4 linked regions of the Drosophila melanogaster genome follow. The protein of the gene in region 4 interacts with the protein of the main gene of each other region in a pairwise test. Each region holds a gene or a part of one and is shown on either strand. Other genes may lie near its edges.

The links.
Region 1: the proteins of CG16972 (region 4) and kipf interact in a two-hybrid assay, tested with the Drosophila melanogaster proteins (one large-scale study listed by BioGRID).
Region 2: the proteins of CG16972 (region 4) and Mpp6 interact in a two-hybrid assay, tested with the Drosophila melanogaster proteins (one large-scale study listed by BioGRID).
Region 3: the proteins of CG16972 (region 4) and Spn43Ab interact in a two-hybrid assay, tested with the Drosophila melanogaster proteins (one large-scale study listed by BioGRID).

Annotation. Positions count from the first base shown.
Region 1 is NT_033777.3:7,910,949-7,918,956, reverse strand, and holds kipf (kipferl), read right to left. Parts: upstream 5,107-8,008; 5' UTR 4,874-5,106; coding exon 4,320-4,873; intron 4,166-4,319; coding exon 3,683-4,165; coding exon of another isoform or gene 3,679-3,682; exon of another isoform or gene 3,588-3,678; intron 3,045-3,587; coding exon 2,777-3,044; 3' UTR 2,504-2,776; downstream 1-2,503. Other genes in the region: CG10445 (uncharacterized protein), read left to right, coding at 1-1,101, 1,163-2,029; Rfk (riboflavin kinase), read left to right, coding at 5,944-6,028, 6,093-6,469; Prat (phosphoribosylamidotransferase), read left to right, coding at 7,348-8,008. UniProt on the Drosophila melanogaster protein: DNA-binding zinc finger protein that recruits chromo domain protein rhino/rhi to specific chromatin regions enriched in H3K9me2/3 histone methylation, mediating piRNA (piwi-interacting RNA) biogenesis.
Region 2 is NT_033779.5:21,151,396-21,158,185, reverse strand, and holds Mpp6 (M-phase phosphoprotein 6), read right to left. Parts: upstream 1,899-6,790; 5' UTR 1,858-1,898; exon of another isoform or gene 1,795-1,857; 5' UTR 1,216-1,794; coding exon 727-1,215; 3' UTR 670-726; downstream 1-669. Other genes in the region: Coq3 (coenzyme Q3), read left to right, coding at 1-669; E2f2 (E2F transcription factor 2), read left to right, coding at 2,143-2,442, 2,505-2,614, 2,821-3,079, 3,201-3,540, 3,607-3,710.
Region 3 is NT_033778.4:7,149,753-7,157,163, forward strand, and holds Spn43Ab (serpin 43Ab), read right to left. Parts: upstream 3,891-7,411; 5' UTR 3,813-3,890; coding exon 3,785-3,812; intron 3,393-3,784; coding exon 2,506-3,392; intron 2,312-2,505; coding exon 2,167-2,311; intron 2,101-2,166; coding exon 1,979-2,100; 3' UTR 1,910-1,978; downstream 1-1,909. Other genes in the region: Spn43Ad (serpin 43Ad), read right to left, coding at 4,128-4,240, 4,298-4,448, 4,647-5,606; nec (necrotic), read right to left, coding at 6,833-6,972, 7,039-7,411.
Region 4 is NT_033779.5:13,195,470-13,206,117, reverse strand, and holds CG16972 (uncharacterized protein), read left to right. Parts: upstream 1-2,822; 5' UTR 2,823-3,117; coding exon 3,118-3,574; intron 3,575-3,709; coding exon 3,710-5,407; intron 5,408-5,463; coding exon 5,464-7,515; intron 7,516-7,574; coding exon 7,575-7,773; intron 7,774-7,835; coding exon 7,836-8,562; 3' UTR 8,563-9,016; downstream 9,017-10,648. Other genes in the region: Pect (phosphoethanolamine cytidylyltransferase), read right to left, coding at 1,846-1,928; Edem2 (ER degradation enhancer, mannosidase alpha-like 2), read right to left, coding at 9,847-10,368, 10,439-10,537.

The sequences.
Region 1 (8,008 bases), on a different chromosome or scaffold from region 4:
GATGAAGAAGAGTCTGGAAAGGAGGAGGAGCAGTACGAGCCGCCGGAGAAGCGCACCTGTCACGTGAAGACTAAAAAAATCAATCAATTTCGAATTTTGGATGATGATGATAATGATGCCGGAGACAAAGCTGTAGTGGAGGATGAACAGAAAGATCTGCTAGCAAAGACTCCCGAACCAGAGGTTTTCAGTTCGGATGAAGAGGAGGAGCACTTATCAAACGGCCGCTATCCCTCGGCAAACACATTAGTTGTTTGCCCCATGAGCGTTATGTGTCAGTGGGCCCATGAGGTGGCCTCCAAGGTAGCGCAAAATGCCATTAGGGTGCTGACTTTTCACGGACCCAATCGCCATGAAATCGGAATAGAGGCATTCAGGAGCTATGATTTAGTCATTACCTCGTATAATCTCGTAGTAAACGAGCTTAAACGATATGGAAACACTTCTCCACTGTTCGCCGTGTACTGGAACCGCGTGATCCTCGACGAAGCTCACATCATTCGGAATTCTAAAACCAACTGCTGTAACTCTGTATGCCAGTTGCGGGCGCATTGTCATTGGGCCCTGACTGGAACGCCTGTCCAGAATCGGGGCGTCGATGTGTTCGCCCTGCTGCGGTTTGTAAATGTACCAAACTTTCAGGACCTCCAGCAGTGGAAAAAGAACCTAAACGAAAGCATGCTCGGACATCGCCGACTTAACTTTATAATAAAACCACTAATGCTGCGCAGGACAAAGCAAAAGCTACAGGCATCTGGCGACATGCCTGCGCTGCCTTCCCTTAAGATTGAACTTATATGCGTACAGCTATCGAAAACTGAAATGGCCGTGTACCAGATCCTGTCTGCCATATCCAAAAAAATCTTTACACAGTTCCTGCTCCAACGCGAGAAGGGCAACAGTGATTTAAATTATTACTCTCTGGAAAGAACCCCACAGTTTATAGCCGGACATATGTCCGACGAAAGGTACAACGAGATCTACGAAAGATTCCTTAAGTCGCTTGGCTACAATCCAGGGGAAAAGATCCTTGGTATCTATATCCTGGTGCTACTGCTGCGGCTACGACAGTTTTGTTGCCATCCGGGACTAATGATTGGGGTAAATATATACATATTTTACTTTATCACCCCACATAATCATACTCAACATCTTTCGTTAGATGCTGCGTGGTGCTTTGACCGCCGAGGACGTCCAGAACGTGAAGGTGGATGCCTCAGACGTGGAGGGCCAGCTCAAGATGGATGTCCTTGCCGAGTTGGATAAGTTTGACGAAACCGATAGCGAAGATGACTGTTGTGACGAGGAGGACAGTACTAGAAGAGATGGCAATTTCAAGTTGGAAGTGATAAAAGATGAAATTAAGGAGGAGAATGTGCCATGGGATTCTGGTGATGACCTGCCAACGGCCAGTTCTTTTGAGGATCAACTAGATAGTGCCAGAGCTCTTAAACTGCTCAATCCCCAGAATCCCATCTTTCAGTTCATACGCCCTTCTGCCAAACTAAAGATGGTCATTGATAAGCTAGAGGAACTGCTCACAGGCACCAACGACAAAATCATTGTTACATCTCAGTGGGTAAGCTATCTCGCAATCGTCCGTAAAAGACTGCAGGATCTATCATGGGAAACACTTGACTTTAATGGCCAGCTGACCGCCAAAGAACGCGAGATTGTACTGCGAGACTTTAACGCGAATAACGAGAAGCGCGTTCTTCTACTCTCCCTCACCGCTGGCGGAGTGGGACTGAATCTGAACGTGGCCAATCATATGCTAATTGTGGACCTCCACTGGAACCCGCAGCTGGAGCGACAGGCTCAGGACCGCATTTATCGATATGGTCAAACTAAGCCTACCTTCATCTACCGCTACATGTGCCAGGACACTGTAGAGCAACGAATTAAGTCCCTGCAAGATTGCAAGCTAGAAATTGCGAAAGTTGTGCTTCCAGAGGAAGGAGGAGAAGTGACCAAATGTGTTGGCGGTGGTCTCAACCTCGCGGAGCTAAAGAAACTCTTCGAGATGTGAGTCGAAGTATTTTAGTTAGTTTTAAGAAGATTATGTTTTTTTTTGTTTAAATTGTTCGCATACAAAAGCTTTACAATTTCACCAAAGTGTTTTTTAACGGATTGAATTCGTTTACAATTGTGTATTAATACTACACAGACTACCTTTAACGTTATACGTTACATTTGATATAGTCGCACGTCCATAAAGCATAAAGCATATATATTCCCTTTTTTTCTATATTAAGAACAAAACGTACTAATAATAAAGCATACTAGTTGTTTTCATGATGTATGGATCATTCTTTTTGTCTATTTTTCCTTTTGTTCTCGCAAAACCACAACAAAGCTAAAAGAAAAAAGTTTGAAGCTCTAAAGATATATAAGAAGGCATTAAGTAGCATGTGGTAGCAATCAATCGATTGTTTAATTATTTTCAGTATAATAATGTATTGTGAAATATACAATTAAAAGGAAATTTCAATAATATAAATTTAGAGCTTATTCTCAGTATATTTGAGTTTCTGTGAAATATATAATTAAAACGAAACTTAAATAATATTAATTTTGAGCTTATGAAAGTAACAAAAGAATCATATTTAAGAAAATTCAAAGTAAGAATCAACAACAGAAGTTTAGACCTGCGGTCATTATAATTATAATGAATAATAAATCGTTTATATTCCTTTCACATATATTAATCTGCTTAATTCAATGGTTGTTTTCCAAGAGTATAACCGGTAGTCACCCGTTTGGACATGATCTTCTCCTACATCGCTATTACGTTGTTGCTGTGAATGCGTTTTTTGTGCTTTCGCAAGTAGTTAACATCTACAAATACCAATGAGCAAAATTCGCAACGAAACAGATCTCCCATGTGACCACGCTCGTGCCTTTTGAGATGTTTTTCTGTTTTGAACTCCTCGGAACAATAGGTACATTTTTTAAGATGATGTTGGCGATTGTGAGTAAGCATATGCCGCTTCAAGGCGTAGACACTACTGAACTTCTTTTGGCAAATATCGCATATCGGTTTCCTGTTGTTAAATAAATAGAAGCAAATGATATTAGTTGATTCGCCTCGACTATCAGATACCCGTTAATCAGCTAGTAAAAGTGCGAGGGTTTTCTATTTCTATAAATTTTACTAAATCTTAGGGATTTAGCTCCTATAGTTAACGGGATCACGGCGTTCTTACGGACACGCAGACGGACGGACAGACTATTGATCCTGTGCAAGATTATTATTTCCTTCTACTAGTAAACCTTTTTATTACTTATCGTGTAACGGGTATACAATTTTAAAGTTTGGTTAAAGTTTGATTATTCAAATTTTCTTCGGCGAAATGGCTATCGCCAAAAATTTAAGTAAAAGAATAAATGAAAACAATAACTTAATGTCCGTTTGTTGGCTTTTTAAAGGTCTGAAACAAACTCAAAACCTTAATTTTCTAGATTTTTAATTCCAGAGATCTCTGCGGACAGACAGACGGAAAAATAGACGAACGGACGGACTGATGAGAACTTATGAACTCGGCTAGTGGTTCCGATTAAGAATATAAAGGGGTCAGATACGCTACCTTCGCTCGTCACAAATTTCTCAGCGGTACTAGGGTATAAGTATAACTATCAGGTATAACTATATTACATAAGACTGGTGGAGTTCCAAACTCACGGCTTTAGCATAGGTGGAATGCTGCACGTGCCATTGAAGGTGTTCTTAGTCCACTTTGGTTTTAGATCCTGCGCTTGATCGCTGTCGTCCGAGTCAGGATCCTTCGTGGACTCCGATTTTGAAGAGCCCGGCCTTTGTTTGTGCTCTCTGCGATGGATTTCCAGCTGAACGTGTTCGATAAATACCGCTGAGCACTGGCTGCAGGAGAGCGGACCGTCACTGTCGTGGGTGCGCAGGTGCCTTTTAAGGTGATCTTTACGCATGAAAGCCTTCGAGCAGTGGAAACACTTGTGCGCTGGCTTGCTTAGGTGGTTTCGCAAATGCCGCTTGAGGTTCGATTTTTGCATATAAGTGCGTGGGCAGTAGGGACACCTGTTGCACAGATCGGTGATGTGGGTCCTTAACTGGGTCTGGGAACAAAATCGCTTAGAACAGTGCGGGCAGTTGTAGTAGCCATCGGCATCGCAGATCATTTTGGTACTTCTGAAAATCGGGAATATAATTATTTAAGCTTATTTAAGTTATTTTTAATTATTCATATAAAAGTATAAGTAATCAAAGATGTACCTTCAAATTTTTATAATTTTTCAATTATTTGTCTATCTTGAGGCTTGATATTTATAACAAATTGCATTACCTTGTAGCTTCCTTTGGGATCATGTCTGCCTGTTCTTCTGTGCGACAAGTCCGCTTACGAGGATGCAGGGTGAAGGACTCCGGTGGGCCATCAATATTTCCCTCTTGGAGCTTCGCTTGGAGTGTTTGTTTTTGACTAAGATCATCATCTGGTTTCTGCGTTTTTGTCATTTGCTGCGTATCCTGTTGACGATCGCTTTTGAGCTGCATTTTCTGGTTTATTATCTGGTTCTTATCCCCATTACATGCAGCTAAGTGCACTTGGTTTTCCGGAGCACCCGACTGGTTTAGGACGCGGAAGAAGTGCTGGTAGCTCTGCTCGCTTTGCCACTTGAACCGGAAAGCATTCTGCACGGCCAGGACGCAGGAAACGCATATGAACTGCGGCAGCAGGTCGCCGCGTTTCACTGGACGTTCGGTACACCTGGCCAGGATGTGCGAGAGGCTCATCTCCGGTTCGTCGAGCACAGGATCCCTTACATTGGCGAATATATCTACCAGGGTGCCGGTCTCGTCCATACAAGTCCGGCACACGTTCTTCGCGCTGTGCATCATCTAAATCAACAACCAAATGCAATGTTTTTTAATAAAAGAACAGTTTACGACATCTTATGAATTGACCATTGACATTGGCCTTGTTTTGCAAACTAATAATCCCGTTTCGCTGGTTTTACAGTTATTGCTGGTAAATTATATGAATAAACGGCACATTTTTTAAAGAGTTCAATTGATTTCTCATTCTACACAAGTGTAAGTGTTCACTTTTTGGAGAATTGGATGATAACTGGAACTGCAAAGAAACCAACCGTCGCACTGATCATTTGTACATTTTTTTTAGTGCTGAATAATACATGTACACATGGAAAACAATTATTCAGAATAAAAAAAATTGAGATTGATATGATATGAAAAAATATGTATATATGTATATATATGTATATATGTATGTATATTTGTATTAATAACACAAATATTTTTCAGGCAAGCTGGCTTTCATTGTAATTTAATTACGATTTGGTGTTCTATTTATTTTGGGAATAGAGTACTAGTATTTACACAAAACATCTGATGATTCATTTATGAAATAAAAATTCAATATTTTCAATAGAAGCTCTACACAGCAAATAAAAGCTTTTGATGAAAATATGTTTAACCCGCCGCTAAAATTTTAAAATCAATCCAATTACATTAATTCTGCATTACAATATAAACCCAAGCTTTATTGATTAAAACCATACTGTGCGTAATATATACATTTCAGTTTCTTACAATTTAAATATCTAGTAAAAAAAATTCGCTAATTGACAGTACTATATAACTGAAACAGGTTGGCAGCCCGAAGGCAACAGCTGATTCGCTTTATGAATGCGGAAAATTTGTCTGTGTGTTTATGAATATTATGCCGATCAATGGAACGAGGAATAGTTATGTGAGTGGCTACGCGGCAATCACAACATACGTACTCTGTAGAAAACCCCGCTTGACTCCTTGCCAGACTCGATAAATTGGCCCGCAGCGCTTTGCGGTTGCACAGAATACCGCAAATCAACCGCCCATTGGCCCCTGATATTCATTTCAAGCGCCAGCACAGCAGATCTGGGTCAGATTGCAAGGAAATCTGGGAAATGCTGAGCCAACTGCCTCTGTTCGCTGGGGGCGAGATTGTTCGGGGCTTCGGACGCGGCTCCAAAGAGCTGGGCATCCCAACAGGTTGGTGGCGACGTTAGGCGAATTGCGAAGGTCATTTCTAATTGATAACCAAACCACTTGTTAGCTAACTTTCCGCTGGAGGTGGTGAAATCGCTGCCGGAATCCCTGCCCACTGGCGCGTACTACGGTTGGGCAAACGTGGATAATGGACCCGTGCACAAGATGGTCCTCAGCATCGGCTGGAATCCCTTCTACAACAACAAGGAGAAGAGCGTGGAGACGCACATGCTACACGACTTTAACTGTGACCTTTACGGCCAGACACTCAAGATATGCATTGTAGGCTACCTGCGACCGGAGCGCAGTTTCGACTCCCTGGAGTCACTGATTGCCGCCATCCGCGGGGACATCGAGCAGGCCAAGGCGTTCCTCGACGAGGCGGACAAGGCCAAGCTGAAGGAGGCTCCGTTCTTTACGGAGAAGCTCTGCTCGTCGAAATAGCGATGGCGTAGGTCAGTCTGGAAAAGGAGGCTTTGCTGAAGGACGCACTACTACTCTTCGCACGGCTTTGAAATAGTTATTCCATCAGTTATCTTATCTCTCAATTTGCGCGATGTGCAAAGCGGAATTCGAATATCGAATCAAGTACTTAAGCTAAACGTTTTCATTAAATTCCTACTGCTCATAATGACACCAACAAATTGAACCAATCGCATTTCAGTTTGATACTTATCAAATGTATAAAAGAAACCGTTTTTGTAAAAATGTTCCTACTGTGAATTTTTTCTAATATATTTATCTCTTAGTGGCGTTTTTATTGAGGGATTGCAGTGAACTTATTTTCAATTGTTATACATATGTAGTTAATTATTATTTATTTATTTCACGAAACATTTTTTATATTTCTGGTTTTAATTGCCTACGTGTTAAAAAAAAAACTGTTAAATATTATATATACGAACATACACATACAATTTTTAATTAATTTTAATTGCGCAAAATAACTTTAATTCAATTTAAAGCTTATTATTTAGTTTGATTGCGTATATTTTATATAAACGAATAAAATCAAATTATAATGTGTATATTGTTTTGTGTACTAAATTACAAATTAGGTAAAATTCCAATTTGAAAATACAGACTATAGAATGCTATCGATCCATCAGCACACCGCACTATCGATATCAGCGACCGATCGATATTGGGCTTGATCTCGACCGATTCGGGAAAAACTGAGCTGCGCGTGCGAGCGTGCGAGGATTTTTCTTGTATAAAACCGTTGCGTAAATCAGCAGGTAAATCAGATCGGCGTCAACTGCGCCACTGCCTGCAATCAGTTGCCTTCAACCAGCATATTGTACCGATTTTTCAGCAGCAACATGTCAGCGCCACAGCAACAACAACAGTCGCAGCAGAAGCAACAACAACATGTGCGCGTGGTCGAGCAACAACAGGTGGAACCAGCTGAGGCGGTGACCTCCAGCATGGAATCGGAATCCATCTCGGCCAGCAAGGAGCTAACCGGTTTGACGCACGAGTGCGGCGTTTTCGGGGCAATCGCTTGCGGAGATTGGCCCACCCAAATGGACATTGCACACGTGATCTGTTTGGGGCTGGTGGCACTGCAGCATCGTGGGCAGGAGTCTGCGGGCATAGCGACCAGCGAGGGAAAGTGCTCCAAGAACTTCAACGTGCACAAGGGCATGGGTATGATCAGCACCCTGTTCAACGACGACTCCATGAAGAAGCTTCGTGGCAACCTGGGCATCGGTCATACACGCTACTCGACCGCTGGCGGATCCGGAGTGGTTAACTGTCAGCCCTTTGAGGTACATACGACACATGGAGCATTGGCCCTGGCCCACAATGGTGAGCTTGTTAACAACGAATCTCTAAGAAGGGAGGTTTTGGCCAGAGGCGTGGGCTTATCCACGCACAGCGACAGTGAGTTGATCGCCCAGTCGTTGTGCTGCGCCCCGGAGGATGTTTCCGAACTGGATGGACCCAACTGGCCAGCTAGGATCAGGCATTTCATGATGC
Region 2 (6,790 bases), 8.0 Mb from region 4:
AATACCACCAAAGTGTTGTTGGGTCAAAATATTCTGGAGGTCGGATGTGGCGGAGGATTGCTTACGGAACACTTGGCGCGCCTGGGTGCCCAGGTGGCTGGCATAGATCTTGGCGAGAAGTTAATAGAAGCTGCTCGCGAGCATCTCAAATGCTCCAGTCCGGAGTTGGCCAGCAATGTGGTGTACAAAATTGAGCCGGTGGATCAGCATGCCAAGGCCAATTGCGAATGCTATGATGCGGTGATAGTGTCTGAAGTTCTGGAGCACGTCAAAGATAAAGTGTCCCTGCTGGAGGCCAGTGTACGCAGCCTAAAGCCTGGAGGATCCATCTTTATCACCACTTTGAACAAAACCATACCCAGTTGGTTCGGTGGCGTGTTACTCAGCGAGTATGTTCTCAATCTGGTGCCCAGGGGAACGCACCACTGGGACAAAATGATTTCGCCCTTGGACGTTCAGCGCATCTTGGATACGAGTAAGTTTATCTCAGGCTTTATATTCAGATTAGGCTATTCTTTATTCTCTCGTTCATCTGCAGTGAACTGTCAGACGGTGTTGGTAAATGGAAGCACCTACGACTTTTGGAGCAACACCTGGCGATGGATCAACAACAACCAGATGTGCTACGCCTTGCAGGCGGTGAAACAAGCACAGCGCGAGTACAATTGAATTCGTATATTTATTTAACTAAAAGCTAAGTCACGAGTGTAACAACTAAGTAGTAAACTATTCGTCACCCGAGCGTGGTTTCTTAAAGTACTGCTTCTTCATGGCATGCGGACTATCACTATCTCCGCCGATTTGCTTCCTTTTAAAGTCCTTTTTGGTGTTAAACTTCTTGCTCATGCTGCCGGAGACCGTGGGCGCCTTGTTGGCATAATAAGCCTTTACCATGTCTTGGTCGGATACCTCCTTGGGCTGCTCCGGCCTTGTGCGGCCCTGCTTTTCCGCCAGATCCTGCTCCATGAGAAGTTCTAGCTCCGGATTCATGCCGCGGAAACTGAGGCGTCCGTCTATCAGGCCGGCGCATATCGAGTAGCTGGACTCCACCACAAAATTCGAGGTGGAATTGAGCATCTTCTGGTTGATCTCGTTGGAGTACAGTGCCCTGCTCTGCTCATCGTCTGCCTCCTTTTCCACTTTAACTTTTGTGCGCTGCATGAACTTCATGTCCAGGACACCACGCGAAAGTCTCGGCTTTGATTTGGATGGCATTTTCCTTATTTATTTTTGAATCTAATATAGTAGAAGTCCTTTGAGTTTAAAAACTAGGGCGAAACCATCAGGCACATTTAATTTTTTTCAAAAGCAGAATGACCGAGCACAACAAATGGGGAAAGCCAGTGCTGCAAATCATCGTTCAGCCTAGCTAGAAAACGTGGCGCGCCCTCGTGTTTATGCGATGTTTAAAGTAAATATTTAAATTACTGTTGAAAGTTAAAACAATCCTTCGTTATCAAGTTGATCTTTTTAAAATTTTAAATTCACCCTACTGACAAACAAGCTCAACTCCATCTTCATGGGCACTCTTAAGAAAACTTCCAGCTGTGCTATACATGCTCTGTAAACGATCAAGACTAGCACAGGCGCCTTCAAAGGGTTAATGCTTTTAATTTGAAACCTAAAAAAGACCCAATTTCATTTAAAAGTTGTCGCCAATATTATCGGACAATAAACCTTAACGAATGGCTAAATATTATGGAGTACTAAAATAATTATTATTTATTCGTGATGATACATTTGAAGACCAAGTAGAAAACATTGGATGATCTGTGTGTTGGACTGCAGACTAAACTAAATACAGAATTTAAATGAAAATTAATTGAAATTAAAGATCAAAATATTAAAAATGTTTACCTGTTTAAAATATAGTGTTGAAATGTGCGCAAGCATCGATTAATCGATTTACTATCGTCGTGGCAGCGTCGCTTTGCCACACTGCGCAGTGCGCACGAAGAATAGAGGGAGAATGAAAAAAATGACATAAATGGCGGAAAGCAAACCTAGCGCCAACATTCGTATTTTCGTTTAATTTTCGCTCCAAAGTGCAATTAATTCCGGCTTCTTGATCGCTGCATATTGAGTGCAGCCACGCAAAGAGTTACAAGGACAGGAGTATAGTCATCGAGTCGATTGCGGACCATGTACAAGCGCAAAACCGCGAGTATTGTTAAAAGAGACAGCTCCGCAGCGGGCACCACCTCCTCGGCTATGATGATGAAGGTGGATTCGGCTGAGACTTCGGTCCGGTCGCAGAGCTACGAGTCTACACCCGTTAGCATGGACACATCACCGGATCCTCCAACGCCAATCAAGTCTCCGTCGAATTCACAATCGCAATCGCAGCCTGGACAACAGCGCTCCGTGGGCTCACTGGTCCTGCTCACACAGAAGTTTGTGGATCTCGTGAAGGCCAACGAAGGATCCATCGACCTGAAAGCGGTACTAACACGGCCAAGCATTAAGTACTCTACCTTAACATCGTCCAAATTTCCCCTCTGCAGGCAACCAAAATCTTGGACGTACAGAAGCGCCGAATATACGATATTACCAATGTTTTAGAGGGCATTGGACTAATTGATAAGGGCAGACACTGCTCCCTAGTGCGCTGGCGGTAAGAGCCCCTTACATTTTATGAAACATTTTAGTTAGAACTAAAAATGTTAGTGACAACAAAATTAAACAAAATGGGGTGGAAGTCGCCCTTTAGCACTTAATACTTAATACAGTACAAACAGGTGGAATTTACTTTGATCATCTTCAAAGTATGATTCCACATAAATATTTCTTGATAAATTATTGATAATGTGCATTTTCCAGCGGAGGGGGCTTTAACAATGCCAAGGACCAAGAGAACTACGACCTGGCACGTAGCCGGACTAATCATTTGAAAATGTTGGAGGATGACCTAGACAGGCAACTGGAGTATGCACAGCGCAATCTGCGCTACGTTATGCAGGATCCCTCGAATAGGTCGTATGCATATGTGACACGTGATGATCTGCTGGACATCTTTGGAGATGATTCCGTATTCACAATACCTAATTATGACGAGGAAGTAGATATCAAGCGTAATCATGTAGGTATCTTACCAGTCGGAGCTCTTTAAACTAGCTTTCGAGGTTTCCCATTTCTTTCAACGAAGAAATATCTAAATTTATCGTATAATATGGGATTCAAACGAAACATTGTTTTTGTAGTACGAGCTGGCCGTGTCGCTGGACAATGGCAGCGCAATTGACATTCGCCTGGTGACGAACCAAGGAAAGAGTACTACAAATCCGCACGATGTGGATGGGTTCTTTGACTATCACCGTCTGGACACGCCCTCACCCTCGACGTCGTCGCACTCCAGCGAGGATGGTAACGCTCCAGCATGCGCGGGGAACGTGATCACCGACGAGCACGGTTACTCGTGCAATCCCGGGATGAAAGATGAGATGAAACTTTTGGAGAACGAGCTGACGGCCAAGATAATCTTCCAAAATTATCTGTCCGGTCATTCGCTGCGGCGATTTTATCCCGATGATCCGAATCTAGGTTTGTCTTCTTATCTTGCCAATTTAAAAGACCCCCTGTTTAACTTGATGCTGTCCGATGTTGCAGAAAACCCGCCGCTGCTGCAGCTGAATCCTCCGCAGGAAGACTTCAACTTTGCGTTAAAAAGCGACGAAGGTATTTGCGAGCTGTTTGATGTTCAGTGCTCCTAACTGTGGAAGGGGATGTACACCTTAGGACTATAGCTACACTGCAACTGGCCGCGTGCATTGTGCAAATATTTATGATTAGTACAATTTTGACTTTGGATTTCTCTATATCGTCTAGAAATTTTTAATTAGTGTAATACCTTGTAATTTCGCAAATAACAGCAAAACCAATAAATTCGTAAATGCACACATTGTAGGTTGTGTATTTTTTTGTTTTAGGTAACTTCCGTAAATGTCGTGGAATTATTTGGTCGTGTATGTGGAAAGTGCCAAGGAAGGTTGGAAAGATTTATAGGTTTGTTTTAATTTGGTCTAGAAAATCTATGATGCCTTGTTAAGCGTTTATGTTTACGTTTTTAGAGAGATGGTTGATGTCTTGGTATTTTTCCAGGGCTGGAAAGTGTTGTACTTGGAACAGCTGATTAAGATGTGGGATACGTTATCGAAAACGTTACTTGGTCCCCTTATGTTATTGTAACATGTACTTTATTCAAAGTATAATTGTCGAATCCGTTATCGCTGAGAAGTCTGTTGATTCTTTTGATCTCTGTAGATTTAAGTTTACATTTGGGATTTTTAACCACGGTTTTTTCAATGTGTCTGGGAAAAGTGTGCAGTAGTCCCGCTGTTTGTTTGCAGCAAAATCTGCGTTTTCCCTTTCCCAGTCTTTTTGAATGATTTAAACCGAGACATCTTTAATGGTCCAACTTACTTCGGTGAAAATTCCTTGCTTCGATGCATTTTTGGCGGCCAGGTACACGAGATCATTTTCTGGAATACCGGACTGACTAGGCATGTGATGGATTTCAATGTGTGTCAAGCATTGGGATTGTTAACTATCTTCTTTTTAATGTTACAGGTTATAGGATTGCAATGTCGCTCTTCATGCTGTCTGTTAAGATGGCCACTAGGGAAATGCCTATCCTGAGAACATAGTCCAGAGCTCTGTCTATCGCTAGCAGTTCGACAATTGAGCTAGAAGTTAGGAAGGCTGCGTTGGATTGATGTTCGGAAACTGAGTCATCAGTGAAGTTTATCTCGAACCCCCTGTTTCCCAGATTGGAGACCTTTTCCTTATAGAATTTTAAAATGCAACTTTGGTCTATAGCATTTTTATTTTTGTCAATTCCTTTAAAGAAGTTTATGTCTACCTTAATTTTGGTTCCAGATCACAGCCTTTGATTTGGTTTAATATGACTTTAAAGTCGTTGTACGACTTGGAATAGCTAGTGTTGAGATCGTAATTCCCTAATAATATTTCTTTGGCTGGTAATGCGTGGGCAAATACTTTAATAAGTTCCTTTGTCGTTTGGAAACGAATTCTGTATTCCGGTGACATTTCTGTCTCCATGTGGTAGATAATTTGGGTAAGTGTCCATTTAGTAAGCCCTTGCACTTTTTTGAAGCTTTGATTGGTGTGCACATTTATTTTATTTATAGCTGTTTCGGATAAACTGCTGAATGAGGAGCATGCATATTCTAGCCTACTCCTTAGAAATGCCTTGTGAAGAAGAAAACTTTTCGTGGTATTGACGCCAAAGTTGCAGCCACTTAACAATCTTAAGATAGCGCCCGTTTTGTTGGGTGACGAGACCGCTCGTTCAATATTTGGACAGTAATTCGCGGCTATAATTCTTCCTAAAGTTTTCCACTTCGTTAATTATAGTGCCACTGTGAGCAATTTGTAGTGATTGCCTTATAAATAGTCTGCATATTGGAACAGTTCGAACAGTTTACCATCACTCAGGTTGTGTACTTCTGCTGTGTATAGATTGAAAAGAGTCTGGCTCAAGCAGCTTTCTTGAGACACTCCTCTGTTTACGCCTAGTTTTGTAGTTTCGCTTAATTGAAACTCATTTTCGGACAAAGTCTGTCAACCAATAAATGCGGTGAGGGTTAAATTGGAATTGTTGTAATTTAGACGCAAGAATTCCCATGTCTACGCATTCGAAATCCTTTTGAAGATCGAGGCACGCTGCAACTAGATGAAATCCTTTCACTTTAAGTGACCTTATTTATTAGGTCATTTATGCAGAGAGTGGATGAGGTAAAATGAGGTGGTCCAATCCAATTTATATTAGCCCCTCCTCTTTTATCTTAAACAGAACGCTTATGAAGCTTGAAACCACTGAAATTTGATCTCTCTCCAAATTTCTGGGATTTGACCTGATAACCGTATTATATTAAGCAGATTAAATAGATCCGCATTTTTTGTCGAGGAAAGTGTTTGTATCGTTCGATACGAGATATTGTCGCTGCCTTTTTCTGTGTCTGGACTTCTGGTTGGTAGATAGGTTAGAAAGTCCATCCATTCAAATGGGTATGTAGTAACGATACAGTTGGGTCCCTGATTGGGTCGGGTAATATGGCTTTCGTGGATGGAGTGCTTTTAAATATTTATAGGAATTGTTCATCCCCTACTGGAGCCCATGTGATGCCAGTTCGTTAAATCTGTTTGTATTTTTTAAATTTTTTGATGCTATTCCAGATGGACGGCCCTTAGAGATTTCTTCTACAAAGGTGTGGAAGTTTGATCTTGTTTCTTTTGTTATTTGCCGAACGAGGGGACAGAACGTCTCTCATTGTTATTTACCGATTTTCAGTTTGCAAAATCACAGTTCCTATACCAGGCGACTCAATAAATTTATCTGCTGGTAACATGACCGTAGTTTTATTTCCAATAATATGTAAAAATTTAGTTTTGTTACAACATATATGTACAAATGTGAAGTAGCGCCACTGCCCAGGCACCTTATATTTTTTCTGTGTTTAGCCACACTGATATGCATTAAAAAATTTGTTCGTTCCCTTTTTCTTTGTTCTTTTTATTTCACTCTCGCGATGCTCCGTTTTTTGGCAGTTGTATGTAGAATTTCCATTTAAATTAATTTTTTGGAGATTGTCTTTCTGCTTACTTTTGTTCTGCTTTGTATGTGTGTACAAACAGCTTCTGTTTTTCTAGTTTCTCTTCTTTTCTTCTTATTGTGGCTACAAAATTTTCCCAAGAATCAGGCAAACTAGACCATAACAACTGAGTTTTTTTAAATTCTGCGCAATTTTTTCCATGCTTCTGCCGAAGACAC
Region 3 (7,411 bases), on a different chromosome or scaffold from region 4:
AGGTGTACGAGTACTCGGGAATAAAATATGCAAGTCACAGAAAACCTGTTAAGTGCAGGGAGATATCTCATAATATAAACTGTAGCTTGGTGGTCTGTCGGGGCTTAAGCCAAAAATAAACACTGCAGTAAGGTACACATTTAACCGAAATCGTCGAAGACAATTGCAATATTTAACTCGAAAACGACAAACAGAACGTGCGACCCCAAAATTAACCAGCAAGAGCCGGAGAAAATACCGAATATAATTAACTACAACTGGATGCACTGCAGCCCCTCACCTTATATCCCTCGGCTTTTTGCTTACAATGGGTTAAACGGGCCTTACACTCAAAACATATCCATACACGATATTTATGAATAAAGTTGCATTTCAAATATTGGGGATACATTCTAATTTATTCTTAGCTATTAGATTCATAGGATGGAAACATGATCTATACAACATGTACATATGATCGCACGATTACTCCCGGATGCCAGGATCTGGGATTAGCTAAATGAACTGTCAGTTTTGGGCGGTGAAACTAGTTTCCACTGTCCTCGGCGTGGAGGGGGCATCACTTGTGGCATTTGGTTAAAGGCGCATGCACCGTGCACAATCCACCATGCACCGTGGACCATGCACCTGCTGCAATTCTTCCCTCCCGAAATGGGCTCTTTAGCATTCCGCTCACAAGGCGCAGAAACAAAGAAACTTGTCGGGGGCAACCCGAGCGTTCTAACAAAGGGACGACGAGCTGTCGCAGTCGCGAAGTTTTGGGAGGGAGCGCGCAGCGGCCACTACAATTGCAGAAAGATATTGGCCCCATCTGTGCCCACTATTTCTGAGATAACCGGTATTTGGCAAGAGAGAGCCCCCAAAGAGCGGGAGAGCGAGAGAAACGAGTGCGCAGGCAGGGAGTTCGCCGTTTTTGGAGTTCGTCTTTGGGGCCGATCGACATCGCTGTCAGTCTGCTGCGCGCCTCGCACGAACATCGAACTCGCGGACGTGCGCGTGCGCGAACGGAACGCTCGAAGGCAAACGAAACGGAAAGGAACGTTAGGGAACGCACGGAAACGGAACGGATCAGCGACGGCCCCCGCGTTTTTGCTTTTTTGCGCTTTTGGGCTTATCAAGTGCCGGGAATCGGTGAACGGGAGTCCAGAAATCGGGCAGCTGTCGCGTGCAGTGGCCAGGAAAAGGAGTTTGCGGAAAATAATGAAATGCCTGCCGTCGGTGGCAGCAGTGTGGCTGCGTGTGTTTCTTGAGCGGCCGGGAAATGTGCATCAATTATTTTAAATGGCCAGCAGCCACCCCCTCCTCACCCAACCCCTGCGAAGTGTCCCCCACCCCAAGCACATGCATAAATACAATTAGGCAGCTAGATCGGGCCTGAGCCATTTGGTGGAGCCAAAGTTAATTCGGTGCGCGAACCAGTTTATCGACAGGCACTCCGCGAATTTTTTCACGAACGCGCCAAGAAATTTATAATAAATACGCCTAAGCTCAAATTGTTGTCAGCTGGCTCGGCTTTTGTTGATTTATGTGCGCGATTAAAGGAAACAACGCAGCGCAGTCGGCCGAGAAACCGCAGAATAAGATAATAAATATAAGTAATGCCGAAAGGCATCACCCCCGCCCCCAGTGTCACCAGTGAAATACCTGTGAGTGCCAATCAAGCGACAAAGAAACCGAAAAGACATCAGCCCGTAGAACGCCAGCCATAAAAACTTCGGATACATCCTCCGCTCCGCAAACATGGATACCCCAAATCAAATGCCTGTTGAGCTAGAAAGGTGAGTGCCGCGCCGGATTAAAAATAATCTAAAATGCAACCTTTGGGAAAAACACTTGGACGTCGTCCATTCCAGTTTCATACAAGTTGTTAATTTCTGTCAGTCTTTTGTTCAAAAAGTAACATTCATTAGGTCAATTTACGTGTGTTTTTTATTTGTAAGTTTTAACAAAATGATCTACTCCGTATCTGCGATCTAGCTTAGACATAAGCATAGTTAGCAATGTGTCCGATAAAGGCGATTGAGTCCTTGTACTTGATGGCGAACACGAACGGATGATCTGCCTCGAACTTCTTGGAGCGCGAAAAGAGTCCTTTAAGCACTGGATTTCGGAAGAAAGGTAGTCACTTCACTGGGATCTGCTTAGTGCACTTAGGTGTCTACTCACATCCAGTTTCCAGGGGTTGATCCACGCCAGCTTCAGTGACCTCCACATTGGCCTTGTGCTCCACTGCGTTAATGAAATGGCTGACAAACATGCGGTACATGTTGCCAAAGTCACCATCTCTCGAGAACATTGTATGGACGCCCAGCTAGTTGACGAAAGTTAAAGTGTTAGATTAAACATCATCATAAATAGTTGATAGTCTTTTAAAAATGTAAAAATGTAAAAATGCAATCAGAATTTATCAACTGACTTATGAAAAAAACCTTTCTCATAATCCAAAGAAATATTATTACAATATCGTAACCACTTGAAAATTCGCTCAAATCGATTCCTACTTACCTTCTTGAATGGTCCCTCCAAACCCAAGCCAAAGGTGACACTAAACTTGGGCAGCAGCACCTCCACCTTTTGCTGGCTCATCGCTCCGATTTCGGCCAGAAGATTCTTACCGGACAGCGACTGCTGCAGGGATCTCAGACCATCCTTGCGATTGGGCAGGAGCAGCAGCATGGAGAAGTCGGGGTTCTGGTAGGGCAGCTCCACCACCTTGGCGTCCAGGGAGTTGACCTCGGCGTAGTTGAAGTTCTGCAGCGTCCACATGGTGTCTACCTTGACAGACTGCCCGCTTCCGGTGCGGAAGGAGCGCTTTTCGGTCTTGTCCAGCCGGAAGGCCTTTTGCCAGGCGGCTGAGTAGGAAACGCCGTTCACGATCACTCCCTCGGTGCGATCATTCAGCAGCTCGGCGCGGAGGATGTCAGTGATCTTGCCGTTGGTCTTGGTGGCCACCGCCCGGTTGATGCCATCCGCCGTGCGCTTGTTGTACGGCGGGTGAAAGTCCAGCTTGTCGATGTTCGAGTCGAACTGGCGCTGGGCCACGTCCCTGAAGGAGCCCTTGAACTCAAGGTTCTCGTTGATGTAAATGTTGTTGGCCAGCCGGAAGTTGTTGTCGCGGGTCAGGGCCTGTTGGTAACTACCGCTGCGCTGGCTCACCGCATCCGCATCGCCAGGACCTAAACGCAGCCCCTGCTGCAACTCCGATGCCGTCTGACCCTTGGCCCCCACGAAGGCCAGCGCCATGGAACTCTGTATGGTCGCTGGCGAGATGACCACATTTTCGTTCAGATGATCGGCGGCCACGGCGTTGTAGAGATCGGCAGCCAGCAAATTGCGATCGGCAGCCGCATCGTAACCCACGGTCTTGGACTGCGACACTGTCGCGAGGAGAACTAAAGGAATCGATGCGAAACATGGCATTAGTCGCAATTTGTTTGCAGGCTCCGCCCCGCCAGATGAGGCACACTTGGAGAAAATTATAGCTCGAATAATTGTCACATTTAATTCACATATTTTTTCGTGCGATTTGATTCACTTTTTATATAATTTTCACAGAAATAGGAAGGATATTTGTCACTTTGAAATCGATTTGACTTTATCACCAAGTTAGAAACTGTGGCATTACGTCAAATATCAATTGAAAATAGAAGAAATTTATTCTTAATGATAATAAAACACCCAAAATTGTAGCAACTCTTTTGATAGCAACGGCCTTTAAAGTGGAAATACATTCCTGTACAGCTTTCGTACAGTGCACAAACCAGATCGCTTAATTGGGGCTTACGTAATAGGCAGCTGATGATGACAGCCATGGTCGTCACATAAATTGTTGATGGGCGTCTCCTGCTCCGCTTGATTCGCACTTGAGCTCGTCGGAATGTGAACTGAAATCTCTGCGATCGCAGAGCGCCTATAGAGGTTGATCCAAGTCGGATTCAAACACGAAACTCAGCTCTCGGGTCCCAAATACAAATACCGATCAAGTGTGTTTACAAATCATTTGTCACCTTTGGCTGGCCACGGGTGATTCTGTTTATTTCGCGGAGATTTGAGTGGGGCTGATAAGGCGATAGCCCGCCCGGCTTGAACTAGCATTGGAATCGAGAATTAGGTATGCCTAGAAAGACTCAGATGTCGACGATGTGGCCGGACAGCAGCAGAGTTTTGCCATTGCCGATGGCGTAAAAGAACGGGTGATTGATGACCAGGGGCAGGGCTCGTCGGAACAGATCCCCGAAGGCTAGAAGTACACCTGGTTTAGGAGGCTTCTTGGTCAGAGACTGGCGTGATCACTTACAGAACGAGTCGTCGGCATTGCCGCCATCCTCCTGTAGCTCCAGGAGACCACTCTGGACCACTGCTCCCAAGGGTGGAGCCGAACTGGACAGGATGGAGCTGAAGACCTCGCTCAGGTGGACCTCCGATGTGAATAGTTTTGCCAGACCCAACTGCAAGGGAAATCATGTTGAGAACATTAAATTTCCCACTCAAGCCAAAGGAGAAGTCTAATGACTGCTTCTTAGCTTAATAAGTATCCACGTAACTCTAGCGTTTCTTATTTAATATTGCGTTCCATATGGAAAACGTTTGATTTGAACTTGTACAAGCTGCAGTTCCAAGAGAAATCCTAACAGTTGTTAACTCACCTCCTCGAGCACGTGCTTCAGGTCGGAGTGGACTAGCACTCTGAGCTTGGGCAGAGTGAGGGCCACCTTGCGCTCCTCGAGCTGGGACCTTAGCTGGTGGAGATCGGACTGCGCCAGCTTCCTCTCAAGTTGGGCCAGGCCATCAGGCCGATTGGGAAATACAATGAGCATTCGGAGGTCTGCAGTGGCGAAGGGCACCTCAATGAGCTGGGCGTCCAGAGCGGGCACTTCAGCGTACCTGTAGCGGTGCTGTCCGAACATGGCATCCACCAGCCTGGGGCGATTTCCCCCGGCAAAGAAGTTGATGCTCTGCGTCTCGGTAGGATCGAAGGCCCAAGCCCAAGGGGCTCGGAAGGTGACTCCCGAGACGTGTAAAAAGGGCGTGTTGTGCTCGGCCAAGGACTCGAGTTGGGGGGCACTGACGAGCTCCCCCAGGCTGAAGTTGCTGCGGCTAAGGAAGGCGTAGTTGATATCCTGGGCCGCGTTCGACGCACTTTCCCACGACAAGCGGTGGCAGCCGACGCCCATTCGGGCGGCCAAGGTCTCGAATTCATTGCGGAAGTTGAAGGTGAAGCGCTGCTGTGCGTAGAGGTCACTCAGCAACCGCAAGCGACAGCCAATGGCAGCCGACTGCTTGAGGTCCGTCAAAAGGGTCTCGAAGTCCTGCACCGCAAGCTTCGGGTGACTGGCGTGGGTCAGCTCCAGAGCCTGGCGGAGTTGGCTACCGTACTCCGAAGAACTTTCCGCATACAGCAGGCTGAGCGCCGCCTGTATAAGCAAGGGGGAAACCACCACATTTGCATCTGGTTGAGTTAGTCCCAACTTAGTAGTTAGGCGTAGGCCAAAGCGGTTACTCGAGACGCTGGCCGGCGATCTGGCCAAGAGCTCCCCGTCGACTGGAAGCGTTAAAGCTATAGCCAGGCCCACAAGTAGGGCGGAAAGAAGTCTCCAGTGGATCATGTTTTGGGAAATACCAAGCTTCGACTAATGCTAATGTTAATGATCCAGTGGCTTACACACAACTAGGCTACGCGCTCATTCAAGGAAATTCAAATTATATTGAGACATTGAGGTCATTGATTGGAGAGGTCCAAAGCCAAAGTCAGAGCTCGGCATTGAAGGTCTTGGGTGATACGGAACGATTCGAGAGGCGGAGAGCTCGAAGTTCTCAGAGAGATTCACTGGGAGAGGTAGCAAGCGATTCTATCCAGTTTTCGTTTCGCGCTTGAGAAAATTTCAAGTTCGGAAGCTAACTCACTCACTCTTAATTCGACACTGCAACACAAAAGGTGCAGACATTTTGATTGCCTTCGTAATCAAATGAATGTAGAATAGCAAATCAGAAATCTGAAATTCTAAACTTTCATTTCGGAGGGGTAACTGATGTATATAATCATTAGAATTATTACTATAAGAATAATGGTGACATTTTAATTAGATCATCTCTAATTGTTTTTTATTTAGCAATTTAATAAGTTTTAGCAGCAGAGATTTGAAATGGGCTATCTGAGGGATGAAGCGTTTTTCGCGATATTTAATTATTCATTAGTAGGTACCTACTACCTACTCTTTAACACCTTCCAATATCAGAAAGAACCCCAAATTTACAACGTAGTTTTGTTGAGTGTAGGCAACCTTGAGTAAGCGCCATTAATTATGCCCAGCTTTCAGCGGGTATTTCAATTACTCATACCGCAGTCTTACAATTCTCAGCCCCATTGCTCCCCCAAAATGGGTTACCCTGCACTCCATCCTCGGTGATCTCAAGTGAGATCTAGTGCGCATGAGGAAGCTTCGCTCATTTTGAAAAATGATTGAGAAATCCGCCTTTGATTTACGGCCGTGGATGCGAGGACAAGAGGGCAGGAGGAGTGCCGCGGCTCCAAAACGGGTTTGCCAACTTACAGAAGCGGGCAAAAACCATTCGCTGGAAATCCAGAATAGCCAAGAGCCCCGGCAAACAACTGGGAAAAGGCACAATGGCAATACCTGCTACTACTGCTGCTCCGGATCGCCGTGTGATCGACACGGAATCCCATTGCTCTTATCAGCGAAACGGGGTTATCAAAGTTCAGTTTCCATAAATACAGCGTCATACTTTATTATTATTATTCACAAATGCAACGGGCAAGGCTCTACTCAGAAATGGAATTCTAATAAATCAATTTGTCCGAATTTGGTTCATTTTAGACGCTCATGGGCGTGGGATACTCCACGTGACCTATGAACAGAACTGAGGCGGGTGTGCGGACGGCGAAGACGAATGGCCGGTTGGCGACGAACTCCGTGGGCTTGGGAGGCAGCGAAAGGGGTACGAACTTGGCATCTGGGAAAGAGATTGGGAGATAATTAGTCACAGGATTCGGGGGTGTTGATGGTCTTCAGAACTTACAGGAAGCTGCCGAGGCCTCTGTGCCCGCCTCGCCCACATTGATGTAGGCCTTCTGCAGGATCTTGCTCACGCGCACCGGCTGATCCATCAACTTGGTCACCTGCGAGTTGGGCGTGAACATCTGGTGGACTCCCAGGTTCTTTAGCGGCTCGGTCATGTCCTGCTCGAACTCGAATTGGAACTTGGGCAGGCGCACAGCGACCGACTGGCGGCGCAGGCGGTGGGCAACGCGGTTGAGATCGAACTCCGGCCGGGACAGCTGCTGCAGCATTTTGCCCAGTCCGGTGGTCTCATTGGGCAGCAGGATTAGCATGCTGGTGGCGCTGTCCTTGTAGGCCAGTTCCAAGGCGGTGGCGCCCAGCTCAGGCAGCTC
Region 4 (10,648 bases):
ATACGTGCTTTCCCCATCTGATGGGTTATCAGATTCCATCAGATTCCACGCAAATATTATGTTTATACTTGTTGTTCGTGCCCATGAGCAGCTGATGTGGAATTTCAGCGATTGGAGCACGACTACGTAGGTCGTTCTTATCTGTCGCAGCTAGAGGACTTCCACACTGGTGACAGGGAGCTGTGACCCGTTGACAATGGACATAAGGGAGCATAGACTGCCAAAATTACCCGGAAATGCCAATGAGCATGATGTATATGTTTTAGGTTTAAATCCATAAATTAGGTGACATTTTCTAATCTTGCTTCAGGGCATTCGCAATTGGATTCTAAAAGTTTTGCCATATGTATGTTTTTGCTTAGGCAGAAGTATACTATAAGATTGAACCACCTCTTAATAATAAATGGATATGGTTTAAAAAACCCTTTTAAAATAAAGACGATCCCTTGCGATTATTTAGTCAGTACAGGAGAGGCCCAGCGAAATGCCAATTAAATTGGGCACACAAAAGACCGCCAGACGATGACGACAGCATTGTGGGTCAATGGCGAGGCAATGGCAATGATGGTGGTGCAAAAGGGGTGTGGGGTCCATCGCCGAGGCGGAGGGCATGCGCATGCCAGAATCACGTGATGTTTGCGGACGGACGACCGGCGGGCAGCCACAGTCAACAAGGGCCACGTAAACGCAGCCCTCATCCGAAAATCTGAAGCCTCAAAAACAGAAGAGCGGAAGGAAAGGCAGGCTGTTCAGATACAGTGGGTTAGCCAGAGCACATGTATATGGCACATATATGTATGTACATTTGCTTGTTGGGCGTGTGCCATTGTTTATACGGTGAGTAGAAATACAAGGAAATAAGAGAAAGAGCGAGGGCGCATATAAACAATGGGTATATTTTTATTTTTACCGACTGGCGGTAGCCACAATTGAGGAAATTTCTATCGTCCCCCAATGAAGCAAACTTGTTATGGTAGGCCATCTATCCATCCGTCCATATCGCAGTCTAACGCGTCATTACCGATAAAGATAAACCGGTTTCTGATGATGCATTGCACGGAATCAAATAATTATATATATATATATATATGGGGGAACGCAATGCCTATAGAACCATTTGATGGTGCCCAAAACAAGGCAAAGTGCGTCAATAGTATCTATATGCGGATCTAAAATACATAGATGCATTAGATGAACCGAACACCCGGTTTATCACATATAGCAATTAATTATTGTGCAAACTAATTTGGGATATATGTATTGTTGTTAGCTTAAGCGCCATAAAGAGTGCGAGTATCGCCGGAAAAGGCAAATTAAACATTTTCTCTGAGTAATCTGTTTTAGAATAGCCACTGTAAGCGTACAATTATAAATAGATTGCATAGCGTATAAATATAAATATAATGCCAAATGTCCCGGTCAAGCGTGGAGAATATGGACATTTCGGATCCGAGAGACCTTGAACCTGAATTATGTAGACATTTCAGCCGGACGACGGCAATGGGTGGATATTTGGAACGGGCAGCGAGACGGCACCGTTTCACAAAGATTTGCTAATCAATTGAGGAACCCTGGACGCTTCTTAGCACGCCTAAAAATGGGGTTTAGTTTATCGTCGACTGATTACGGTTATTGGTATTGGAAACCAAATTGGAATTGAAATAGTAGGGTTCGGTTGGCCGTGGTGTGGCATGGAATCGATGGCACCGACGCGGAATGGTTATGCTTTGACTCACTTTACCGTTAGCGGTGAGTAACGACGTGACGCAATGGGCTGCCCTAAGAACCGTTAGACATTGTGGACCGAATTCCTGGAGGCCCCTAAATGTAATGTAGATGACTCACCATCCATCGCACCAGACGCGCACATCCTTCCGCTGCTTGTCCGAATACCCATTGCAGGCGCTGGTATCGCCATTTGCCTCCATCGTTGACTTATTGAATTTTCACAATTTAATTTAATTTTAATTTAGAATCCGGCTAACGGGCGAACATTAGATTCCGGAGAGTATGTTTCTGTTTTCAGTGCTCGTTTTGAAGGCGGAAACTCGACGACAGCGACGTTCACGCTTCGAGAGCTGTAAGTTATTTGTTCTGAGCTACGACGACGCCCGCTATATATCAATTCCCATTTCACGACCGAGCTACTCAGTTCAGTTTTCGTTATCGGTTTCGGACTCGGATTCACGTTCAGACTCGGAGCGGAATTGGTCTCAGATTCTCAGACTTGCGTTATCAGCGCGCGGGCGCATGGGAACTTCTTTGGGGCGTAAGTGCGGTGTGTTTAGCTTGGGTTTTTTTTTAGATTCTTTCATTTCTTTTCTCACAATTTCGAGTACCGTGAGAGCAGAGTGGCCGCATCGGTGTTTGTCCAAATATACCATATGCCTGGTGCGATGAATACCAGCTAACGCGGATTTTGTAAACATCAACAGCTGATCGAGATATATTGGGAATAACTTTAAATTGGCAAATTTTATGTTACTAAGCTAGAACTTTTATATTAAGCAAGTACAAATCTGTATTATTATACGTTAAAAGGGTATTAACTCTATTAAATCCTTATGAGTCGATCACCCCAATGAAATGTATAATATTTTAGGATATAACAAAGTGTTTTGTTTATAAATAAATGTAAATATTGTCACAACAATTATTAAAAAAAAAGTGTCATAGAATTAAACAACGAACACTACTAATAACATTCACAATTAAAATTTTTTTTTTCATTTTAAAGGTATATTTTATTGATTGATCCCACTGTAAAAATAATACCGATGGTATTTTAAGAGGCATATTGGCCATGGCGATGTGAGATAATACTACGGTGTTTCCCACGGTCACACAGGATAAAGCAACTTAAAATATTAAGCCTATCAAATAAGAAATATACAACGCACAGCACGCAGATATACGAAAAATAACAATCGAAGGAAACCGACCAAGCCATGATAATGTAATCATGATCGTCCACAGTCAGTTCGGGCATTGTTTTGTAGACAGCATCAAGTATATTTTTTAAATTTCACGTGCTAAATTTACAAGAAATCCTACCACAATTACTAAACGAGTCGACGAGGGCTAGATAATCCCAATCCCATTCCCCGTACCAACGCGATGTCCAGAAGAGAAGCCAGCCTGATGGCCTACGTAGCGGCGGAGGAACACCTACTGAACCGGTACTCGCCGCTGGAAGGCGACGAGATAGATACGGCCAGCGAAGCTCCAGGCGACGCATCGGACGTGGCTGAGGATCGGGAGTATCCCACGGATCTTGTTGCATCTGTCACCAGATCCTCGAGGACGGGAGCAGATCTGGACCCCGCCGTGGACAGCAACCTGCACGTGATCTCCGACGACTCGGACACCCACAGCTTTATCTCGAGTGGCAGCGGCTTCAAGGGCTGGCCGGAGGAGCAGCCGTCTTCCAGTTTCGTCCCTCAGAATGAACCCTTAATATTCGGACTTCGCCGGCAAATGATGATGACCGAAGAGACACACCAAGCCCCAGTATGGGCCACCTGCACACCGGCAAAACGTTCGTACAGCAGCCACGAGGTCATCGAGATCAACGGTTTGTTAATCTGTTCCATTAACTATACAAGGAAATCTCTTCCATTTAATTGATTATGAACATTTATCCCAATTGAAAATATGAAATATCTAATATGGTAAACTCACTCAATCGCATACTTTTCTTGTTTTTTAGACTCACCCGAATCTGTCCAGGATCCGGGCATTGCACTAAGCCCCGGCATGCTGCTGACAAATGGCAATGTTGACCAGTTCGAAATGCTGTCCCACGAGAATGATGAGGCTGAACATGAACTTCAGGTGGCCGAAGAAGGGGAGCAGTGTGTGATCTATGAGGCTGTGGATGGAGAGAACATGGTCGTTTTAGGAGAAGAACACTGCTGTGAGATCATAGTAGCTACCCAGGGAGTGGCATGCGAGCAGGAGTTCGCCAGGGCCATCATGATGGCCGGAAACGGTACCGGTGCATTGCTGGGCTTGCTGTCCGAGGAGAGTGATGCGAATGAGTGTCTCAATGGGACTGCCTACATCGAGGAGGTCGTGGAGGATATGGGTGTGGCCGAGGCACGATTGGCGGCTGGAAACAATGTGTACCTTAGTGATGCAGCGCTAGAACAGCCTTTAGTGCACCAGGATCTGGTCGACGACGAGGCTCCGGAGGAAAACGAAAACGCCACATTCTTAGACGATACACCGATGGAGGAGGAACGCCCAGATATTTGTCAGGTGTATGATCACGAACTGGAGGACCACGACGATGAAGAATGCGAGGACGCAGTCATCCAGGAAGAACCAGCCCAGCCTATCGACATTGTAGCATTCGAGGGACAGGAGCCGCTGCCAAATAATCCGCAAAGAAAGTTGCTTCGCGAACACAGCAGTCCCACGGAATTTCCCGTCAGCTCATCCTCCATGCCCAACGCCAGTGACCACTACGACTATGAGGATGAGTTAACGGGCGGCCGCTCTCCATCCAAAGTGGCTCCACTGAAGCGAAAGTATCCGCCGCTGATGAAGAATACGCTCCATGGAGAGGCTATGGATCGAAGACTGGCAAGCATTTGTCAGGCTCAGCCGCAGATGAGTCCCGCCGAGAAAGTCTCCAACTGGGAAACGGCACCCAGGGAAGAGTGGGCCGATGTCGAGGATGTGGAAGGCTTTGAAGCTGCCTTCAAGCAATATGAGGCTGTTACCGCATCACTCAAACAGCTTAACTTTGCCGAATTCCGTGAAGCACTGGTCCGGAATATGGAGAAGATCAGCCGTGAAATCATGCAAACCTCAGACGAATCCACTCAAGAGCTTGCCAGCTCTCAGTCGGCGGAACGGCCGGTGTATCGTCGCTATTTGCACATTCTGCCCACCGAGGAGACAATTGTGCTAGATGATGATGACGACGATTGCTACGAGGTGGTCGGCATGGAAAAAGCCTCTGTCACCACATTGATACCCGAAGAGGAGCTACAGGATAATCAACAGCCGGAGGAAGAAGAGATAGTGCTGCCAGTTGTTGATGACATAAAGAACACGGATTCACCGAATTTCGAGCAGCGGAACCTTACCAAGGAAACATCTACAGCAGACTTGGAGAGAAGCGCGCTTACTCAAACGGCGGGTTCATCCGCTGCGAATTTAGACGCATCCTTATCCCATGCTCAACCTTGTCCAACTGCTCCGGCAGGACTTACTGATTTTATGCAGGCGAACTTAAGCGACCGTGGGCCATCAGAAGACCAACAACTAACCAAAGCTGTATTAGATGTTATGCGTCAGCAGGTGCAAACAATGCAACAGCAACAGCAGTTTATGGAGCAAAAGATGAACCAACAACCACAGATGTATCACTACGAGGAACTGCCACAGGCTCCCCAACGTAAGACTTTTTATTTGTATTTTATTGCAAATTTAATTGGTTAATTTAAATTACAGAGATGCAAATGGAAGGGAATCAGGGGCCTTACGTTAAGTATCCGAATGAGCAACAGGAATTCTGCAACTATCTGGGTCTCACCGAACTGTCAACAGCAAATGCCGTGGCTACCGCAATGAGGGAACTAGCCAACAGCACTATCCCTCGCCGATCGCTGCGGGTGAGACCACAACAGCAACTGGACAGGATGCGTAGTGATGTGCGTGGCAAGCGGCGCGAAAGGGAGCGAGATAGGCAGCAGGATAAGGACAAGAAGATACCGTTGACCACAAGTAGTGAGCTTAGCACCGATAAAGAAGAACCCTCCCCGCCTCAGACATCAGAATCCGTTTCAAGGATGGCGGGGGATGCGGATGTCCATTTCAACTCTCAAATGCCTGCAGAGCATAAGCGAAAACTGAATCACTTGTACAACTCTTATTTTGCGGAAGAGGAAGAATGCTCTACGAAGAGGTCACCCAAAACCACCGACTTTATAGCCAGTTCCAAGTCCTTAAAGGATGTAGAGAGGCGTCCATCGCTCAAAGGACAGGAGCCGCAACGTCATAGATCCATCATTGATGGCGACGGCTATCAGAAACATCAGATAGACAATGAGTCTGAGAAGGGTCGGGTTCAGTCCGTTGAGGCGGCTTTTACTAAGATCTTCGAGGCTGCCGCACCTGCCCAATCCAAGCTGCTGGAGAGCATGCAGCAACGCTTGCGCCAGGCGCGTGAGACGAAGCCATCAATTTATATTATTAAGGCTACAAGCAATGCCTCGCCCCCGAATCCATCACACAGCAGGCAGGAGTCTCACATCTCACCGGCGCCCTTGAACTTAATCGGCGGCTTTGGTGACGTAAGCGCGCCGCATCCTTCTGTCATTTCCCAGCCAGCGAAGAAAAGTCCTACAATAACCAGTCCAGATAAGGAAACTCCAGCCCCCTTACCAGTTGATACACCCAAAAAATCAAAACATAGGAAAACCCATGGAGCCACCAAACCTGTTGCCGCTACACCACGACGCCGCACTACAATGGGTGCATCCAGTCTCGGGAACGAAGCACGTGCACGCGATTTGGTTACCCGCTCCACCACGCATCTTAATTCGAAGCTACTTCGTAGCCGCAAGGTTAGTCTGCTCAAGAGCTACGCCCTGTCGGACGAAATGGCTCAGGGACGATCGAAACGGATGGCTGGCGGTGCAGCACAAACCACCAAAAAGGCTCCAATGCCCAAGGCAGCACGGACGTCGTTAAAGAAGCCGGCAGATAAAAGTCTTCCTGAGCAACATCGCTTGGAGCAACAGCAATTGGCTCCGCCAAACTCTCCCCGAAAGATGAAAGGTGTCAAGGAGACTGAAACTGACACGACAAGTGCAATGAAATCTAGTCGCCTTACTAAACGGACCAAGCGAGCACGAGCCAAGTCACTGCCTTCGAATATTGAAAGGGTGACTGAGCCTGTGGCAGCCGTTCCTAATGCCAATGTATTGAGGCTCGCTGACCTGGCACCAGAAGTGCCCAACACATTCGCGCCTACACACAGCCATCTGGTCAACTCCACAGCCAAAGAAGCCGCTGACAAGACCTTCGTTCATTCCCCCTCCGTCGCTCAATCGCCTTATGCACAGCCCGTGCTTATTTACCCGCCATCCCCAACAACACCGCCACCGAATACGGAGCCACATCGCCCTCGCCAGCAAGCCGGAAAAGTCAATCCAGCTGACTTAGTCCTGGCCACCCCTCCTGGGGGCCTGCTGCGACTCAGTCAGGGATCCGCGACGCTAGCAAATCCACTTTCTGCCAAGCACGGCCAGGTTCTCTATATGTACTACGAGCTGGAACAGCTCATTGTGCTGCAGGAGAATTGCATTACCTTCTGGAAGTACTCCAAAGTGTTCAACGTGCTGCATCAACCGCGACATAATCCCTCCTTTGATGGCGCCAGAAAATCTCCATCTCCAAAGCTGCCTCAAACACCTTCGCGCGAGCCCAAAGACGTCGAGCAGGAGTTGAAAATGGGCCCGCGATGGGTTTACCTGGGCAGAGTGCGGCGCCTGACTAGCGGTGGGTTATGATCATTTATACACTTTACGAATCTTTCTAGCCTCTTTGATGCATTACAGAGAAAGAGATCTTTACGCCGTTTGGCAGCCGCATTTGCGTGCACAATTCGACGCCGGTGTACCTGGAAATGCGAAGCAGGCCGCTGGACCATCACAAGAGGGAGGTGAAGCTAACCTCGCTACATGTGAATGTGTATTACTTCTGCGAGGAGGAACTACGACCCCGTATGCACTCTGTGCACTTGGATGCTGTCAATTGGTGAGGACTATCACGCAGTATGCATAAATTCAATGACGTAACCTACAACTTTCGTTATTTAGCGAATGGCCGCATGTCATATACACAACTATAGCGGATTCGCGTTACTTCGTTATGGCATGGCAGCAGGAACTGGTGATGGGCAAGTCGCGCTCGGGCATTTGCAAATATTCACTGACGCCCACGCTGGATACGCTGGCCTCCATACGGGAGTTTAAGCAGTTGCGCCACGAGCTGCGTCACATTGAGTGCCTTTCAGAGGATCGCCTTATCGGCTACGGCCAGATGCGCATCACCGTCTGGGATCATCGCAGCGGCGATACTCTGATGAACTACGACTTGGGCCGGCCGCTGGGCCGTTGCCTGGCTGCTACGCACTATCCTAGCCTCGACTTGGACCAAAGCAGCATGCTGGTGCTTTATCAGCTGCTTAAAGAACCAAACAAACCGTCTGAGGTGCATGTGATCGCCTGTGAGCTTTCCCATGCCACGCCCTCGCACCGCCTGCTGCAGGTCCACCGCTTACCATCGCCGCAATTCGACGATGCCACGGAGGGCGTTAACACCGGTGATCATCTGATCATCAAGTCAGCATCGAACGACGAAGCCTGGATAAGTGCCGCCGATCCGAGACAGCTAACCTATTTGGCGCCGCAAATCAATGGAGCTCAGCGTTTTTATGCCCGCCACAAGTCCCAAGTGATCGAGATGTCCCCGCAATCCCTAACTGTAGATAGTATCGCCAATCACATGTTGAAATTGGCTGTCCAGCAGACCCAATCGGCGTAGACCTGTGTCGCGGAACTAGAAATGTGGAGAGTCTCGGCCTTGAACAAAGTTTTTGTTTTTTTTTTTCACACAAACCCATGTTTGAATATCACCCAGAATACCCGATCTATAAATGTGCTTTTGGCTGTCTGCCCAAGTATAGTTCAAATATAGGAAACTATAATAAGTTGCGTGTTAAGCCCTGTAGTCCTAACAATCATTTTAGTCGTAAGTAAGTCGGAGAGTAGTAGCCTTTATTATGCGCTATTTTGAAATAAGTGTTTTTGTTTCTTTCGTTCTTTTTATTTTTTCTAAAAGAAAAACAAAACTAGCTTAAGCTATCGTAGTTTTAGGCATATGAATTCAACTGTTTGATTTGCTACTATCGACTGAAGTAGTAAATTTGTCATATTTTTAAGATTAATGGAAACACCAAAATGGAAAGAAATTAATGTCATTAAAACGGAAATCTATTAAAAATACAACGTTTTTGTTTGCATCAATTGCATCTAGTCGATTCACAGATATGTTGTCATCCACAATAATTTGGTTTATAATACTCGATCACGGATTTCGAGACTGCCTTTGGACTCGCATCCTAACGAAGTTGGTTTTTTACTTCAGTTGAATCTTGATTATATGGATGAGCCGGTCACCGAGATCTTCGTGTATTGGAGTACAAGGGAAGGTTAATCCTATAAGATCTCAGGGGTAAAATCATAGCTGGCTCTTGAGTATTAATGATAAAACGAAAATGCCTTTGGTTTTTAATTATAGTTCGTATATTTTAAACTAATTTTGTATAATATCTAATCAATTTCAACTACTCTGTTGTCGATCAATTCCGACTGTCTACCCTATAAACTAACTTCTTAAAACTAATCATTATTTACGATTTTGTTAGTCTCTAAGTTCTAAGTTTTTATATACAGAAGTTTTACTTACATCAAAAAAGTAAAATCCATCGAAAAAATTGTGAGGTGGACCAAATATACAATTAGAATGAACGCGAATGCGATGCTATTCGGTTATAATATAGCCACTAGGAAGCCAATTGCCTGCCTGAGAACCAACCACGAAATGCAAAGATCCCTAAACTGAGTTCCATAACTCGTGGCATTAAATCGCTCTTACATGTCTAGTAAAGTACAGGAAATTCCAATTTAGTTACGTTCGCTTACTGTACACACGTTACGAATATAGAGAATATACATATCTCTATTTTGGCGAGAACCATTTCAAGGCTGTATCAAGCCCCAAAAGAAGAGTAAACGCTGAGGGTGCTCCGGCAGCCGTAGCAGTCCACTACAATTCTTTTTCCGGTTTCTGTGCTACCGACGCTGTTTGGTTCTGGCGCTGCTCCTTGGCCAGTTGCCACCGCTTAAACTCCACCATCTGCATGACGCGAACACGCAGAGGTTGTTTCCGTCGCTGCATGACCGCCGACAGTTTGCCGAACTCCATGCTGTACATGAATACGACTGGAATGAGCACGTCGTCCTTGCCGTCGCCAGACATTGCGAACATCGGCTGCGTCTCACCGGAAGAGCCCGGAACATTATCACAGACAATCAGCGCCGCCGCCCCCACCTTCTGGGCCAGTCGCGCTTTGCTAACGAACGTGCAATCGCCGCGCTCGGCCACCAGGACCTTTCCTTTCGCCTCCTCGGCGTTCTCTAGGCTCTCATCGCATGCTCGTAGCGGCTTGGCCAGAATCACGTCCCCTTCGACGAACTGATCGCCAGTTAACTCTGGGCTAAAGTGCGACGGCCCGGCCATCAGTGCGATCCAATCCTGTGAGTTCTCGTCAGTGGCGTAGGCAACGGCCTATAAACGAGAAAACCATTTCAAATATCATTATGATGATTTCCATTTAAAATGTATAAAGCATGCAAACCTGCAGTTGCGCTAGCTGATTTATGCTTTGCATCTTGGTCAGCTCAAGCATCTCCTGCATAAATTGCAGTCCCATTTCGCCCTCCTCGTGACTTTTGGCCTGAATAAAGTCGAATTTATATTATTATATTTTTTCTACGATCTGTGTGCTGATGATGATGAGAAGGAAGAGTAGGAAGCGAAAGATCGAGGAGGAACTGGTGGCACAATG